Nothobranchius furzeri: one gene and its partners. Each later gene encodes a partner of the first gene's protein in a complex. Links are inferred from orthologs where the notes say so. Each region holds a gene or a part of one and is shown in the gene's direction. Other genes may lie near its edges. The genes, in order: itgav, itgb8 and itgb6.

Region 1 (3,836 bases):
TTCATACCGTTTCGAACTGTCTCGCTTCTCCTCACCAGTTTTGAAGCGATTTCATCAAGAAATCCCATCCCTGTGGCGGCGGCATCTCCCTGCGTGCTTGTGTGTTTCTAGCGTGGTTCCACTTCGTCTTTAATAGTGAACTTATAGTTCACGTGACTATAACTAGAATCGTGCAGTATGTGCATGAATCGTACAAGTGCAGTACGTGGCTAGATGCGCGCAGGTTCACGGGCGCAAAACGAAAACGGCAGCTTCCTACAGGGCGCGGCCATGATGTAGGTGAAAGCCTGTGTAAATGACAAATAAGGCTTGGGCGCCACCTTGGCGGTAAGTTGTCAAGTATTTACCGCCCAACGAGAAAATTTAGCACCATTGGCGCTCGGGCGCTTTAAAGGTCCACCCCTGAATTAGCCGAGTCTTCTCCTGTTCTCTGTCCTCCGGGCCACACACACACACACACACACACACGCACGCACGCACGCACACACACACACACACACACACACACACACACACACAAGGGACAGTCTCAGCTGTTATTTTCGTTAAGGAGTGGGCATGTATAGCATGCGCGCCTCGTGCACGAGCCTACTATTGAAGCTGCCGTTACGCTTTTGGCCTGAGGGGGCAATCACGAGCATAAAAGTTCAAAACTCCGTAAAGTCCCTTTTTAACAGCCTCAGAAGAGCTTCGTCACATACCTTTTCTGTGTCGATGTCCCTGGGTGAAGCTGGTGTGAATGAGTTCTTCCCGCTGCCGTCTCCAGCGCCGAACCATGGATTCATTCCTTTACTCCCAGATCAATGGCCTTCAACTTAAATACAGCATCATATGAACTCATACGTGTAGTTTCCATGATGAGGGGATATGGATTTGAAAAAACTTCTTCGTCGTGCCGGCTGCTTGCATGTGCTAAATTAAAATGAGCACTTTCTTCGATTTCCACTTTTCACTTCCATCTGTTTCACTTTCTGCTAATGCGCCCCCTGGCAGGTGGAGGAAAATCTTCAGTAAAGCCGCACCTCATTATAAGCTGCATGGTTCAAAGCATGGGGAAAAAAGTAGCGGCTTATAGTCCGAAAATACGGTACATGTAATATTGTCCCAATCCTAGTTCCATTGAACGAGTCTCCATCTACTTCCCTTGTAACAATGTCACAGTTACTGGAGCCACTATGTTGTCTTAGCCAGAGTGTGTTTGCTCCTCGGGGGGTGGGACCTAATCATTTACTGCAGCCAGCCACCAGGGGGCAGTCGTTTAGTCCCTGTATCTGTAGTTAATGGCTGGGTTGTGGAAATACTGGTTGTGATTCATGCTGCGTCTCTTTTCCTGACGTTGACAGATTTTGTGACTGGAGTACCGAGAGGACAGCAGGCGTTGGGTTATGTAAGCGTTCACACTCGTCTCAGCGGTACGTCCTCCAGACTGGGATGGATGCAGAGGTGAAGTTAAGGCGATGCTTCTGTGTGTTTAAGGTGAACATCTTCAATGGGCTAAACATGGCGTCCATGATCAACTTCACTGGCTCTCAGGTGAGCTGCAGGACCCCCAACACACACCACACGTTCCTAGGAGACCTCAGCTAGAAAGCAACGAGGGCTGGCGGTGTCAGACGGTCGTTTTCAAATAAAATCACTTTTTTTCCAGTTGTTTTTTAAACAGCCACAGTTCTTTATTATTGTTTTAATTGCTTAGAAGAAATGCGAGGAGCCGTTTTAGTGGATCCAGAGGAGTGTGTGAACACAGAGAACTGTGGGGGAGGAGCAGAGTTAATGACAGAGTTCATCCTAAACAACTCCCCCTCTAAACCCAACAACCTCGCTGCTATCAGCTCCCTTTGAAGGTCCCAGCTCCACCTTTTCTTGCCTCTCTGCTCTAAATCACTGACACCCAAGTGGAAGTTGTTAGAATTTGGTGAATTCTGCCACTGGATGTGAAGAACAAATGTTTGAGCAGGACCTTTAGCAGGGTGTGTGCACGGCCTCTAAAGAGTCGTCTCTCCCACTTCTCTTGTAGATGGCAGCCTACTTTGGACATTCAGTGGCCGTCTCTGACGTTAATAACGATGGGTAAGTGACTGGTCTTCTCCTACTGCCTTTGTGAGGTTGTTTCCTGGCTGGGCTGTCACCTTCAGCTTCACCAAATGCAAGGTTCTGTCGTGTGACGGATCCAGCTGTCGAACCAAACACACTAAATGATTGTTTTTATTCCAGGTGTATCCGCGGGTCCCTGAAAAGTCTTAAATTAGTTTTTCCAAATTTATGGCCTTAAAAATCCTTAAAAATGACAAATAATCCTTAAATACAGTTTCCAAAGGTCTTACATTACCAAAGACCCAATAAACAAGATTCTTTTATTTCTATAAAATGTTTCGTGAATTTCTAGTTTAGTGTTCAGCGGTTTTTGTGTATGATATTGGCGGAACCGTACACATTCAGTTGGTTGTGAAAGGGGGCTATTTTTAGATGAGCACATTAGCTGGTTAAGCTAGTGGGAGCTTGCACCATGGGAAGGGCAAGTTTAATGGTAACTGGGTGGCTAATCCCACGTTCGCGTCGTGGTTAGCACCGTTTCCAGGCAATAGCTGGAAATTATAGCTTAAATTTAATTTTAAAAATAGCTTAAATTTGGTCAAAGTGGCCTTAAAAAAGGTCTTAAAAAGTCTTACATTTGGCTCCCTTAAACCTGCAGATACCCTGCATTCAGACCTAAAGAGAGTCTGCTTCTGATCACATTCTTCATCAGTTATTGCACGGATCAGTTGACTTAAACTCTGAGACAGGAAGAACATTTCCCACGAGTGTTGGACCTACAGAGTAAATATGCACGTCTCTGATTGGAGGACTGATTTGTAAGGGATGTGTTTCAGTCTGGTGGACCTGTTGGTCGGTGCTCCTCTCTTCATGGACAGAGGCTCAGATGGGAAGCTCAGGGAGGTGGGACAGGTAGGAGCAGCTCATACACAGCTGTCACCATTGCATAGAGGTGGTGAAGCTTCTCACTCATCCAGGTCATATCAATCCAAAAGGGTTTCGATGAAGGCAACTGGAATAATCTGGTTTCGTGAAGACGTCTGGCTTCTCATCGAGGAGGCATGAGGCTTATCCCATGCCAGGATTGTGAAGCTCCTCGGATGAGAAGTGAAACGTCTTTAAGAAATCATAGAAGCCCACTTGCCTTCATCTGAATCCTTTTGGATTAGAAGTGTTTAGTTACCTAGTCCTACTGTGCACATGCACAGTGGTGGTGGTCGCCATGGGGACGCCAGGCTGACGCCGTTTGCGTGTGTTCTCTTTCCCTCCAGGTGGCTGTGTATCTCAGTCGGGGGGGCTTCTCCTTTCAGCTACCCCAGTTCCTGACCGGCTCAGAGGTTTATGCCAGATATGGTTCTGCCATCGCTGCGCTGGGAGACCTGGACAAAGACGGATTCAACGGTAAACCTCATCACTGCACAGATCCACTTCTGTCTTCTGGTCCAAAACGCTTGACTCAGCTATTTCTGTCCAGATGTGGCCATCTCTGCTCCTTATGGAGGTCCTGACCACAACGGTTTGGTATACATCCACAATGGCCGCCCTAAGGGACCTGACTCATCACCCTCTCAGGTAAATGCTCAAAAGTCCTGTTAGCTAAAGCCTTTGTCATTGTTGAGAAATCCAGAGAAACAGTTAAAATGTTGATTTCACATCAGTTTCAGTGTTAGGATCAGACTCTGGGAAGATGTTTCCATGAAAGGGTTTGAAAGGAGCTCTGTGGTTTCCACGGAGGAGCAGAAAGTAAAGTAACCTGTACAAAACCACAACTTCATTCAGATCAGCTGGACCTGCTTTGTTGC
Region 2 (4,631 bases), on another chromosome or scaffold:
TCTTTGAAGTACTCTGCTCACCGATCCATGTCCCGAGCTGAGTTCAGCAGCACACCGTCCCCGCTATAAACAGTGTTGGTAGGCACTGCTTTGTCCTCTTGAGGCACCGGGGGTTGGACCAGAATCTCCTTGAAGCCCTTGGGAAGTCTTGCTGCTCCCACATCTGGGTTTTTGCCTCTTTGACCACCCGGGCCACATTCCGCTACCATCAGCTGCCTTTGGAGTCCCACAGGCCCAACACATCCATTAGGGTTCTTTCTTAAGCTTGACGGCATCCCTATTTGTTGGTGTCAACCAGCTGGTTTGGGGATTGCCCCCACAACAGGCACCGGCGACCCTACAGCCACAGCTCCGATCGGCTGTTTTCAACTAACCTCCACACACTAGATGATGCTGTGGTGTTCATGTACTATGGTCAACCTTTAATATGTTAGAGTGATCTTGAATATTTTCTTTTTTAAATGATTATTTAGATTTATTTTGAGGTATTTTGGTTTTAGTTAAAGTTATGTATTTAATTTTATTCTAAATATTCAGGTTTAAGTTTAAATATTTATAAGCTGAAACTTAACGCAGGCCTATGTTTTTTATAATTTAGATTTAACACGTGTTTATATGTAATTCTTTATTTTTAGGTGTGACGGCAAATGTTTAAATCAACTTATTTTATTTGGGTTAAACTTGTTTTGGAGTTTCTCCTATACTTTTGATTGAATCTAAAAATTTTCAGTGTAACTATTTAAACTTTAAATGTTATACTTTTGTCCATCATTGAATCTAAATATGATACATTTTATGTACTTATTGTGATACTTTATAAACGGCGCCCCATAGCCTTTCTCTTCAGATGCGCAGTTGTTTAGAGTCTCTGGCTGCAGCTCAGCGGTGAGGAAAGATTACTCTCTCATTGAAATCGTTACACAATGGATCCCCCTTCCTCCCCCTCTGCAGCAGCAGCTTGTGAACCCCGCTACTGACCTCCGAGCACCCCCATCACCCATCCACCATCCAGCTTTGGGTTCCCACCCCAACAGAAGCCCTCGTGGTTCTCAGATGCAGCCTCATCCAAGGAAGCATTTCTGGAATGACCCGCATCTCTCTCTCTCTCTCTCTCTCTCTCTCTCTCTCTCTCTCTCTCTCTCTCTCTCTCTCTCTCTCTCTCTCTCTCTCTCTCTCTCTCTCTCTCTCTCTCTCTCTCTCTCTCTCTCTTTCTGTTTGTCCCTCCCTCTTCCACTCTACAGCAGGACTTAAACGCGTCGTTGCTATGGCATCCGCCTGCCTGAGTCTGTTCAATGGTTGAAACGCGCTCATTCTCCTGAACCTGGAGCGTCATGTGTTGGGTCAGTGTACCGGAGGAGCGTGTCGCCTGAACGCAGCTGCGCGAGACCTGGGAGAGGGTGGGGGGTGGCACACCTGAAAACAGATGGAGGGACGGTGTGAAACAGTCTAACTACGGCTTCACCTTGTCAACCGGGCAGCGCGCTTTGCTAAACTCCTCTGACCCGGTGATGTGAAGAGGTAACCGGGGTTAGAGAGACGTCTCTCTCTGCTTTATTTCTCTTTAAGTGAAGGACAATGTCGACGCGACAGTCCCGGCTTTTGTTCGTGCGGCCGTGGGCGCACGGATCTGAGTTTGATCCGGTTCCTTCTCCTTGAATCGTGGACAGGATGACGTGCTGGCCGCCCCGCAGCGACCCTCGTCTGTGCGTCCTGCTCTGCTGCGCGGTGCTCGCAGTCTGCGCTGCAGCGTCCAGTACCGGTGAGTGGGTCAAGGCTCATTAGGGACCAATTACATAACAACCCACAATAACTATATGGGCTGTTATGTATAATGTTATAGCTGTTATCAATAATTCCAGCGTTTGTACCTGCATGTGATGGATGAAAAAGGTGCGTTTATAATTTGGCATATGATGCACCAAATTATAATCAGCAGATTATAATCAGTAGGAAAGATGCCCCAGATCAGGTCTGGATGGTGAAACCTACGTTTCAAACCCCCAAATTGAACTCTGATCAATTATCAACCTGAATCAACCTGATCTGCTAAAGTCTGCAGGAACATCTCCGACCATCAGCAAACCAAGCTCTCCTCTAACCGCCGTATTGCATTAAAACCTCCACCCATCACCTATCTGATGGGTTACTAGAGGTCAGAGTGCTAATTGGGTCAGAGCTGCCTGATAATGGGTCTGTTAATGAGGCTCAGACCTGCATGCTTTCTCTGGCCTACATTCCAGCTCCATAAATCACCGAGAGTACTCTGGAAAATTGGATTTAGCAGATAAATTACTTCAGTAAATCATTAATCCAACTACAGGAAGCCCAAGGTGCACATTAGACCCTTTCTCACATCCTTGGTGTGTGTGTTTTTAAAAGTTTCAGTTTAAATAAAAGTTTGAGGTACTCCACGCATCCATTCCAACATTTCAAGCACCTGTTCCCACACTCACCAGTATGTGCTGGATGTGACCTATGAGATTCTGAGCGGTGCTTCCATCATCGAGGGGTAAACCAGATTTAAACGTCATCAGAAGCTGCACCGCATGGCTAATGCATGTTGACACACACACTCGTTCATATGCTAATCAGACACTCTTTTTTATCCTTTTTTCTGTGATTGTTGTTAGGAGCTGGTGTGTGTCAGTCGCCCGGTGTTGCCTCATGCACAGACTGCCTCTGCCGTGGACCTCAGTGCGCCTGGTGCTTCCAGAAGGTGTGTGTGTGTGTGTGTGTGTGTGTGTGTGTGTGTGTGTGTGAGCCAGGCAAAAGGGAAATAAAGCAAACAGTAGGAACGTGGCAGACTCAAGTGCATTCCTCAGATGACACGCACCAATGCTTTCATGGCATTCGCAAACAAGGATCGAATGTGTATGTTTGGGCTGAGTGGTGTGCATTATGTGATCTGTGTGTGTGAAAACGTCGGTGTGTGTTTTCTCAGATGAAGACACTTTCTGTCTTTGTGTTTAGTCTCTCCGTCTTTCTGCATCAGCCCGTGTGTTTGTCTTTATCTGTCTTGCATGTCTTGCTGTCCTGTGAAGAGCCCACCCTGATTTGGCCTTGAGAAGCTTCGGTCTATCAGTGCCACACCACACACACACACACACACACACACACACACACACACACACACACACACCACACACACACACACACACACACACACACACACACACACACACACAGAGAGAGAGTGACATCACACTGATTGAAAGTGTTTTTTAGACTTCAGGTGCTTTCCCACCCTGTTGAACCCTAAACTTCTCTGACATCATCTTTGGGTTGGGTCTACGTGTGTGTGTGTGTGTGTGTATGTGTATGTGTGTGTGTGAGGGCCTTCAAACATCACCCTTGTAACCTCTACACACACACGTCCACGCCTGAACGAGCTCTGAAAACACATCTGTAACTGTATTCATGTAAACATGTGCCCACGTGAGACGCTGAACTCCCAGGTCTTGTGAAGGAAAGTCCCGGGAAGTAGCCAGTCTTAAACTTTTTGGTGTTAAATGTTAGGCCAGTTGTTTTTGTGAGGATATCAAAGAGTATACAGAGTCTGGTTTTCAGGCTCAGCTCAGCGTCAGTCATGGTTGTGGAGTGCATGACGCCTGTGTGGTTTTTGTGCCCGAGTTCTGTAGAAAATGACTAATGAGGTTTAAGTTTGTTGTGCTTCCTGGGTGGTGACAAAAAGTGTTTCTGAATATCAGTCCTGAAACTGAGCTGGAAAGCTGGGTAACCAATAAAACACACACACATATAGTCATACACACACACACAGACCCAGCGAACATGCCCGTTTGGGCCCACCATGAGCTTCTGTGGGCAGGACAAACCCACACTTACCCTAGAGTTCACCCACAAGGATCTTGTGTATGTTTGCATGAATGGGGCCCATATTTGTTTTCCTACGTGAGCCCCCTTTAGATGTAGTCAAGGGTTAGGGTAGGGTTAGATTTAGTTAAGTGCAACCCACAGGTGCATCAGCCCAAATCCATCCCTTGTGGGGTGCCCTGGATCAGCCCAGTAGATACCTGTGATTATTTCTGTGGGCACCCCACATTGGGATCTGCCCTAAAACTACCCACAGTGGCCCCGTGAGTGTTAGCCCATGTGGGGAATTCAGGGGAATCAACAGATCTTTAAGAAAACAGAAATGTAACTTACATGACACAAGTTCTCTAAATAAGGTTTTAGAGCTATTGTAATATTTGGTGTTTGTAATGGTGGGGCAGCGGCAGCTCAGGTAAGAGAAAACGCTTTGGGTCGGATGAAAACTGCTACGTAAATGATGGAAAGCCCAGCCATGCCAGGGTTCCACCGAGAAATGAGGCGCACACGAGGGCCCCACAGCAAAGGGCCACAGTGGGGCCATAGCGGGAAGCCCACATGTGTGGGCCGTGCTCTGTTGGGCCCCTACATGGCCCCAAATAATTGTACCCGCATATGCCCTACATTTCACGATGGCTGTGGGTCCCACTGTTGGCAACCCTTCGTAGGCCAGATTTATGCCCAGAGAGATCACACACGGGGACCCAAACAGGCATGTTTGCTGGACACAAGAAACAAAGAAACACACACACACACACACACACACACACACTTGTATTTGTATCCTTGTGTCGACACTCCGT
Region 3 (4,504 bases), on another chromosome or scaffold:
AAAGAAAAAGACAAACCTCTTATCAGAAAACCGTCAGAGAGTCTTTTTGTATTTCACGTTTGTCAAGAACAGAATCAGAAATACTGGTGAAGATTTACAAGGTTTATACGAGTAAATTTAATATTTTTGTGCTAAAATTCAGCATTTTTGAAGTGCTGGCTTGTGTTCAGCTTTTCTGAAGGTGAACATCTTTGTTGAAGATCTATAGGAGAGTTTTATGATGCATTTATGCTATAGGAGATTAGTTTTAGGAAATACATAGACTAATTTCATCTGCAAATATGTTGATGAAGCAATTAACACAGAGCCCATAATTTATTAATACTCTGATTTAACATTTTCTAAATGCACCTTATGTCATTTATTTTATACAGACTGATTCAAAGCTGAACAAAGTCATTCTGACTCTTAAGTGGATTCATTTAGTAGTTCAACACCTTTATCAGAATTAGAATAAAGTTTAAACCACTGTCATAAAGTACAGCAGACACATCCCTTCTTACTTTAAGTTCCTCTTATGCTATTGTCTGACAAACTTCCTCATGCACCAGCTCGGATGACAATCAGCTAACAAAAGCAGCGAGAAAAAGCTCACACACGTTTGTGTTCATTGAAATTGTTAAAGCACTTTCCACTTTGACCATGGTCATTTTTCTATGTTTTATCATGGTTACAAGTAAAACCTAAATGAAAAATGTAGTTAGGTTTGTTTTTCTTTAAATTCATAATTAGAATAAGTTTAATTCTCAAAATGGGCTGTCATTGTACTTAATCCCTTTCTTCCTTTTTCTGTTCTGATTTTTGGAGCCTCCAGCTGCTCGGGCCACCACTTTACTAGAATTGAAGTTAATGAACATTACTCCCTTTAAAAAGAGTATCTCAGGAGTTTTTTTATGGATCTAGATATTTAACCCTCTGGAGGCAGGTGTTGCAGATTTGCAACAGTTAAATCCTACCTACCTGGTTACCCCACATATGTATTTCATCAGCATATTTTAACTCAGAAGTAACTCAGAAGTGAAGGACTTAGTTGTTCATCCTTTTGTCAAAACTTATTTTGAGCCTGAGAGGATTAGAAAAATATTCTAATGGCATTGTGTCCAAACTCTGGCTTTAAGACTACCTAAACTTCTGTTTTGTATCGTGTGGAGCTGCTTTTATCATTTATTTTTCCTGCAAGGCTGTGTGTACACCTGCATTCTTGCCATACCGCTGTATGAAGGAGGCTGTATTACAGCGCTGGCCCTCCTCTCTGTCTCCTCCACATTTTCACTGCAGGAAGTAAATTGAACTTGAGCAAACAAACACACACACACACACACAATCCAGACTTATCACTGTTTTTACACAGAGCCAGGCATGTTGTGGTGCAGCTTGAAGAGTGAAACTCCAGAACATCAGGCACTAACAGAGAAGCCGGCTCCAGTGGAGAACTCAGCCTGCAGTTGTCACTGTCACTCATTATCACCCCACACTCCCTCAACACACACATAAGGGCAAGCTGGAGCTTGTACAAACACCCACACATGACCCTCACATGCATGCATGCACACCCACTCACCCACTTTCAAACACACACACACACACACACACACACACACACACACACACACACACACACACACACACACACACAAAGGCACACATGAGCCAGGGAGCATGGGCAGCAGGGTCACCCCAGCGCCATGCTTCATAAAGAGCGCTGTTACAATAGGTTTACTGTTACTCTGACGATAGCTGGGATACAATGAGACTAACGGTGCTGGCCTGATTTCTGTCCATTTTTTACTTGGCTGCGAGAGAGAAAGACTGAGACTGGACAGCATGTTATCAGCGGACAGCAATGGAGGTGAGTCAGTTGTGTTTAATAAATGTGGAGCATTTCAAAAGAGGACCTGACAGAAAGGTCTAATGAGACTGATTCTTTTTTTAAATTATAACAGGATCCCCCATGAAAGCTGCCATCTACACAATAATCTGCTGAAACCGTGAAATAGTTTTGTTGCGAGCTCACTAAACTGAATGGTGTCACATTCAAAAAGCCAAGGTGACATGGTGCAAATGTGTCACCTTATTGCACCTAAGCATCATCTGAAAAGATGAAAAGTTGCATGATTTGGAGTTTGGTTGCATCATGTTGAGTTTTTTATATATGTATGAGGAAAAGAGATGAGAAGAGATGTGAGAAGAGAGAGAGACACAGGAGTGAAGAGGAAGACTGACAGAAAGGTTAATGACAGGAAGTGAGTCAATGGAGGCGTGAATGAAACGGCCCGTTCACAGATGCAGAGATCAGGAGGGCTACTGGGAGAGGTGGGTCAAAATACAAAGGGTCTGCACAGAACATGGAGAGGGCGGAGGGGTGGGTGGATAACAGGAGGAGAGGTGGGGTTTGGATTGGGGTGACAGATGGGACTTACCCAGATTCAGAAGAGGCGTGGTGCTAAATTGTAAGATTCCTCCGAGTGGTATCTTTACTGCAGCTGTCAATGATTCAACACCTACACAGGGCCACACCCTTCTGTCCTCATGAACTCAACACACACACACACACACACACACACACACACACACACACACACACACACACACACACTCAGTGCAACACGTCGGATACTTATAGACATGAAAGGTTGTTTTTGTCAGTAGTCAAAAACTCATAAGATGGACCAACTGTGATTCATGCGTTAAATATTAACCTACTTGCTTTTAGTGTGTCTGCTTTAATAGTTGCACATGGTGGTGCTTGTCTGGGTTCTTTTATTATGTTTTAACAAAAGTACAATAAATACATGAAGACTGGAGGCTAAACAAAGATTAGTGCATCCATACACATTCACTTATACAGATTTAATTACATGAGAGTGTCTTCTTAGTGTTTTTACATGCAAAGACTCAGAAATCAGACATAATATGGACATTAAATAAACAAAAAAAAATGCTTTAATAAATTAGTTTTAAAGTTTAATTGTACAAATTTGGTGACCAATTAAATAGAAAATTTAGAGCTCAAAGTAGAAAATGACTACAGTGTTTTGTTCTTGATTACTAACAAGTTAGAATAAAAAACATCAATCATCAGCTAATTTTTTCAGTAGTGATCAGCTTATATTGTAATAAATACACAAATAGGATTACAAAACAAACGAAATTAACGAAATAAATAAATATCTGTTGCTATGATTTTTAACTATTTTGTATTTTTATAGCTTTATTTTATTTTATTAAAAGGCTTAAAATCAGCATTTCTTTTTCGTTCTATATTTTTTGCATCTTGGTAAGAAATTTAATCATTTTCACTCATGCAGGGGAAACACAATACTTGATGTGGTGTGATCTGTTGATGTGGTGATAAAAACACGACACGTGACAGCTGAACTTCTCTTGTACATTTATTAGAATTTTTGTTGTTGTTGTTTCTTTAGTTTTTAAACATTAAAGGTCTTGTAGAAAAGAAAAGGGGGAAAACTTGAAAAGGTGTGCGATCCGTCGCTCCCGCCTCCCTTTTCTCACCTGAACGGAAGTGGCCGCGCAGGTAAAGGCAGTTCCTCCTCTCCAGGTGCAGCGGAGCGGCAGCGCTCTCCTGGTCTGCTTTAATCTGAGACGGCATGGGTTGGTTTCACTCCTGTAAATATAGCCCCTGAGAATACCTGAAACACTCCTCTTCTGTTCATTCAGTAACCTCACGGACTCATGTGGTTTCTACTGCTGATCCCGGTTCTCCGGTGCTGGATCAACACCGTGGAGGGTAAGCGCGAAGCTCTGCTCGGTTTGAAAGGATAAAGGGAAGCAAGTTTGTCAGGTGCAAACAAAGTAGTACCAGGCTGGGATTTTAAAAGCTTCAATGTCAGGACAGCAACAATAGTCAGTTATTATTATGATTATGATTATTATTATGATTATGATTATTATTATTATTATTGTTGTTATTGTTATTGTTATTATTGTTATTATTATTATTATTATTATTATTATTATTATTATTATTATTATTATTATTATTGTTATTATTGTTGTTGTTGTTGTTGTTGTTAAATACCACAGCACTTTTTCCTGACAGTTAAGTTGCTTATATGTGCTAATAGATGAATAACTGCAGCTGCAGGCTTCACTCATTCAGATGATTTCTTGGCTCATTGTTGACTATGTGGTTTCTGCTACAGGATCATGTATAACCAGGAGCTCTGTGACCTGTGATGAGTGTCTGCAGCTCAGTCCTCACTGTGCCTGGTGCACACAGGAGGTAAAAAAAACATTCTTGCATGAATTAAATAAGCATAAAGACAAATGAATGTAATTTTTTGTGATTTCTTATTATAATCCTCAGTAATCTTAACGCCCTATGTTCTGTGACATTTCTCCACCAGAATTTTACAAACTGGTTTTCAGCGACAGAGCGATGTGACACGCTGGATAAGCTGCTGGAGAAAGGGTGTGCCCGTGAACGTCTCCTGTTCCCCATTTCTGAAGCCCAAATTATCCAAGACTGGCCACTTGGGAAGAA

Evidence for each region.
Region 2: the proteins of itgav (region 1) and itgb8 are in contact, whole or in part, in a cryo-EM structure (PDB 8TCF), measured with the Homo sapiens proteins. The link is inferred for Nothobranchius furzeri from reciprocal best matches to the Homo sapiens genes ITGAV and ITGB8. Residues at the interface, in NP_002201.2 of Homo sapiens: Tyr48, Phe51, Trp123, Leu141, His143, Gln150, Glu151, Arg152, Pro154, Phe184, Gln186, Phe189, Pro204, Trp209, Asp249, Tyr251, Tyr254, Arg275, Arg278, Thr279, Gln301, Met302, Ala303, Tyr305, Phe308, Pro328, Leu329, Met331, Ser335, Asp336; in NP_002205.1 of Homo sapiens: Ser197, Pro198, Ile202, His203, Pro204, Arg206, Ile250, Asp251, Thr252, Pro253, Thr287, Ser288, His289, Leu290, Ala291, Leu292, Asp293, Lys295, Leu296, Gly298, Val300, Pro302, Glu321, Ser324, Leu325, Gly326, Gln327, Glu330, His349, Trp350.
Region 3: the proteins of itgav (region 1) and itgb6 are in contact, whole or in part, in a crystal structure (PDB 9CZA), measured with the Homo sapiens proteins. The link is inferred for Nothobranchius furzeri from reciprocal best matches to the Homo sapiens genes ITGAV and ITGB6. Residues at the interface, in NP_002201.2 of Homo sapiens: Tyr48, Phe51, Lys72, Trp123, Leu141, His143, Gln150, Glu151, Arg152, Pro154, Asp178, Ala179, Phe184, Gln186, Phe189, Pro204, Tyr208, Trp209, Asp249, Tyr251, Tyr254, Pro274, Arg275, Arg278, Thr279, Met302, Ala303, Tyr305, Phe308, Pro328; in NP_000879.2 of Homo sapiens: Ser183, Pro184, Phe185, Lys187, Thr188, Thr189, Pro190, Ile236, Asp237, Thr238, Pro239, Asp273, Ser274, His275, Phe276, Gly277, Met278, Asp279, Lys281, Leu282, Ala283, Gly284, Val286, Pro288, Glu308, Thr311, Ile312, Gly313, Gln314, Ile316.

The regions. Positions count from the first base shown.
Region 1 is NC_091754.1:34,944,681-34,948,516, forward strand, and holds part of itgav (integrin alpha-V), read left to right. Parts: intron 1-1,343; coding exon 1,344-1,387; intron 1,388-1,476; coding exon 1,477-1,533; intron 1,534-2,017; coding exon 2,018-2,070; intron 2,071-2,870; coding exon 2,871-2,946; intron 2,947-3,305; coding exon 3,306-3,435; intron 3,436-3,508; coding exon 3,509-3,606; intron 3,607-3,836.
Region 2 is NC_091751.1:28,152,610-28,157,240, forward strand, and holds the start of itgb8 (integrin beta-8), read left to right. Parts: upstream 1-1,526; 5' UTR 1,527-1,668; coding exon 1,669-1,759; intron 1,760-2,630; coding exon 2,631-2,716; intron 2,717-4,631. UniProt on the Homo sapiens protein: Integrin alpha-V:beta-8 (ITGAV:ITGB8) is a receptor for fibronectin. It recognizes the sequence R-G-D in its ligands.
Region 3 is NC_091749.1:40,628,228-40,632,731, reverse strand, and holds the start of itgb6 (integrin beta-6), read left to right. Parts: upstream 1-1,618; 5' UTR 1,619-1,849; intron 1,850-3,475; exon of another isoform or gene 3,476-3,678; 5' UTR 3,679-3,693; coding exon 3,694-3,748; intron 3,749-4,163; coding exon 4,164-4,243; intron 4,244-4,367; coding exon 4,368-4,504. UniProt on the Homo sapiens protein: Integrin alpha-V:beta-6 (ITGAV:ITGB6) is a receptor for fibronectin and cytotactin. It recognizes the sequence R-G-D in its ligands. Internalization of integrin alpha-V/beta-6 via clathrin-mediated endocytosis promotes carcinoma cell invasion.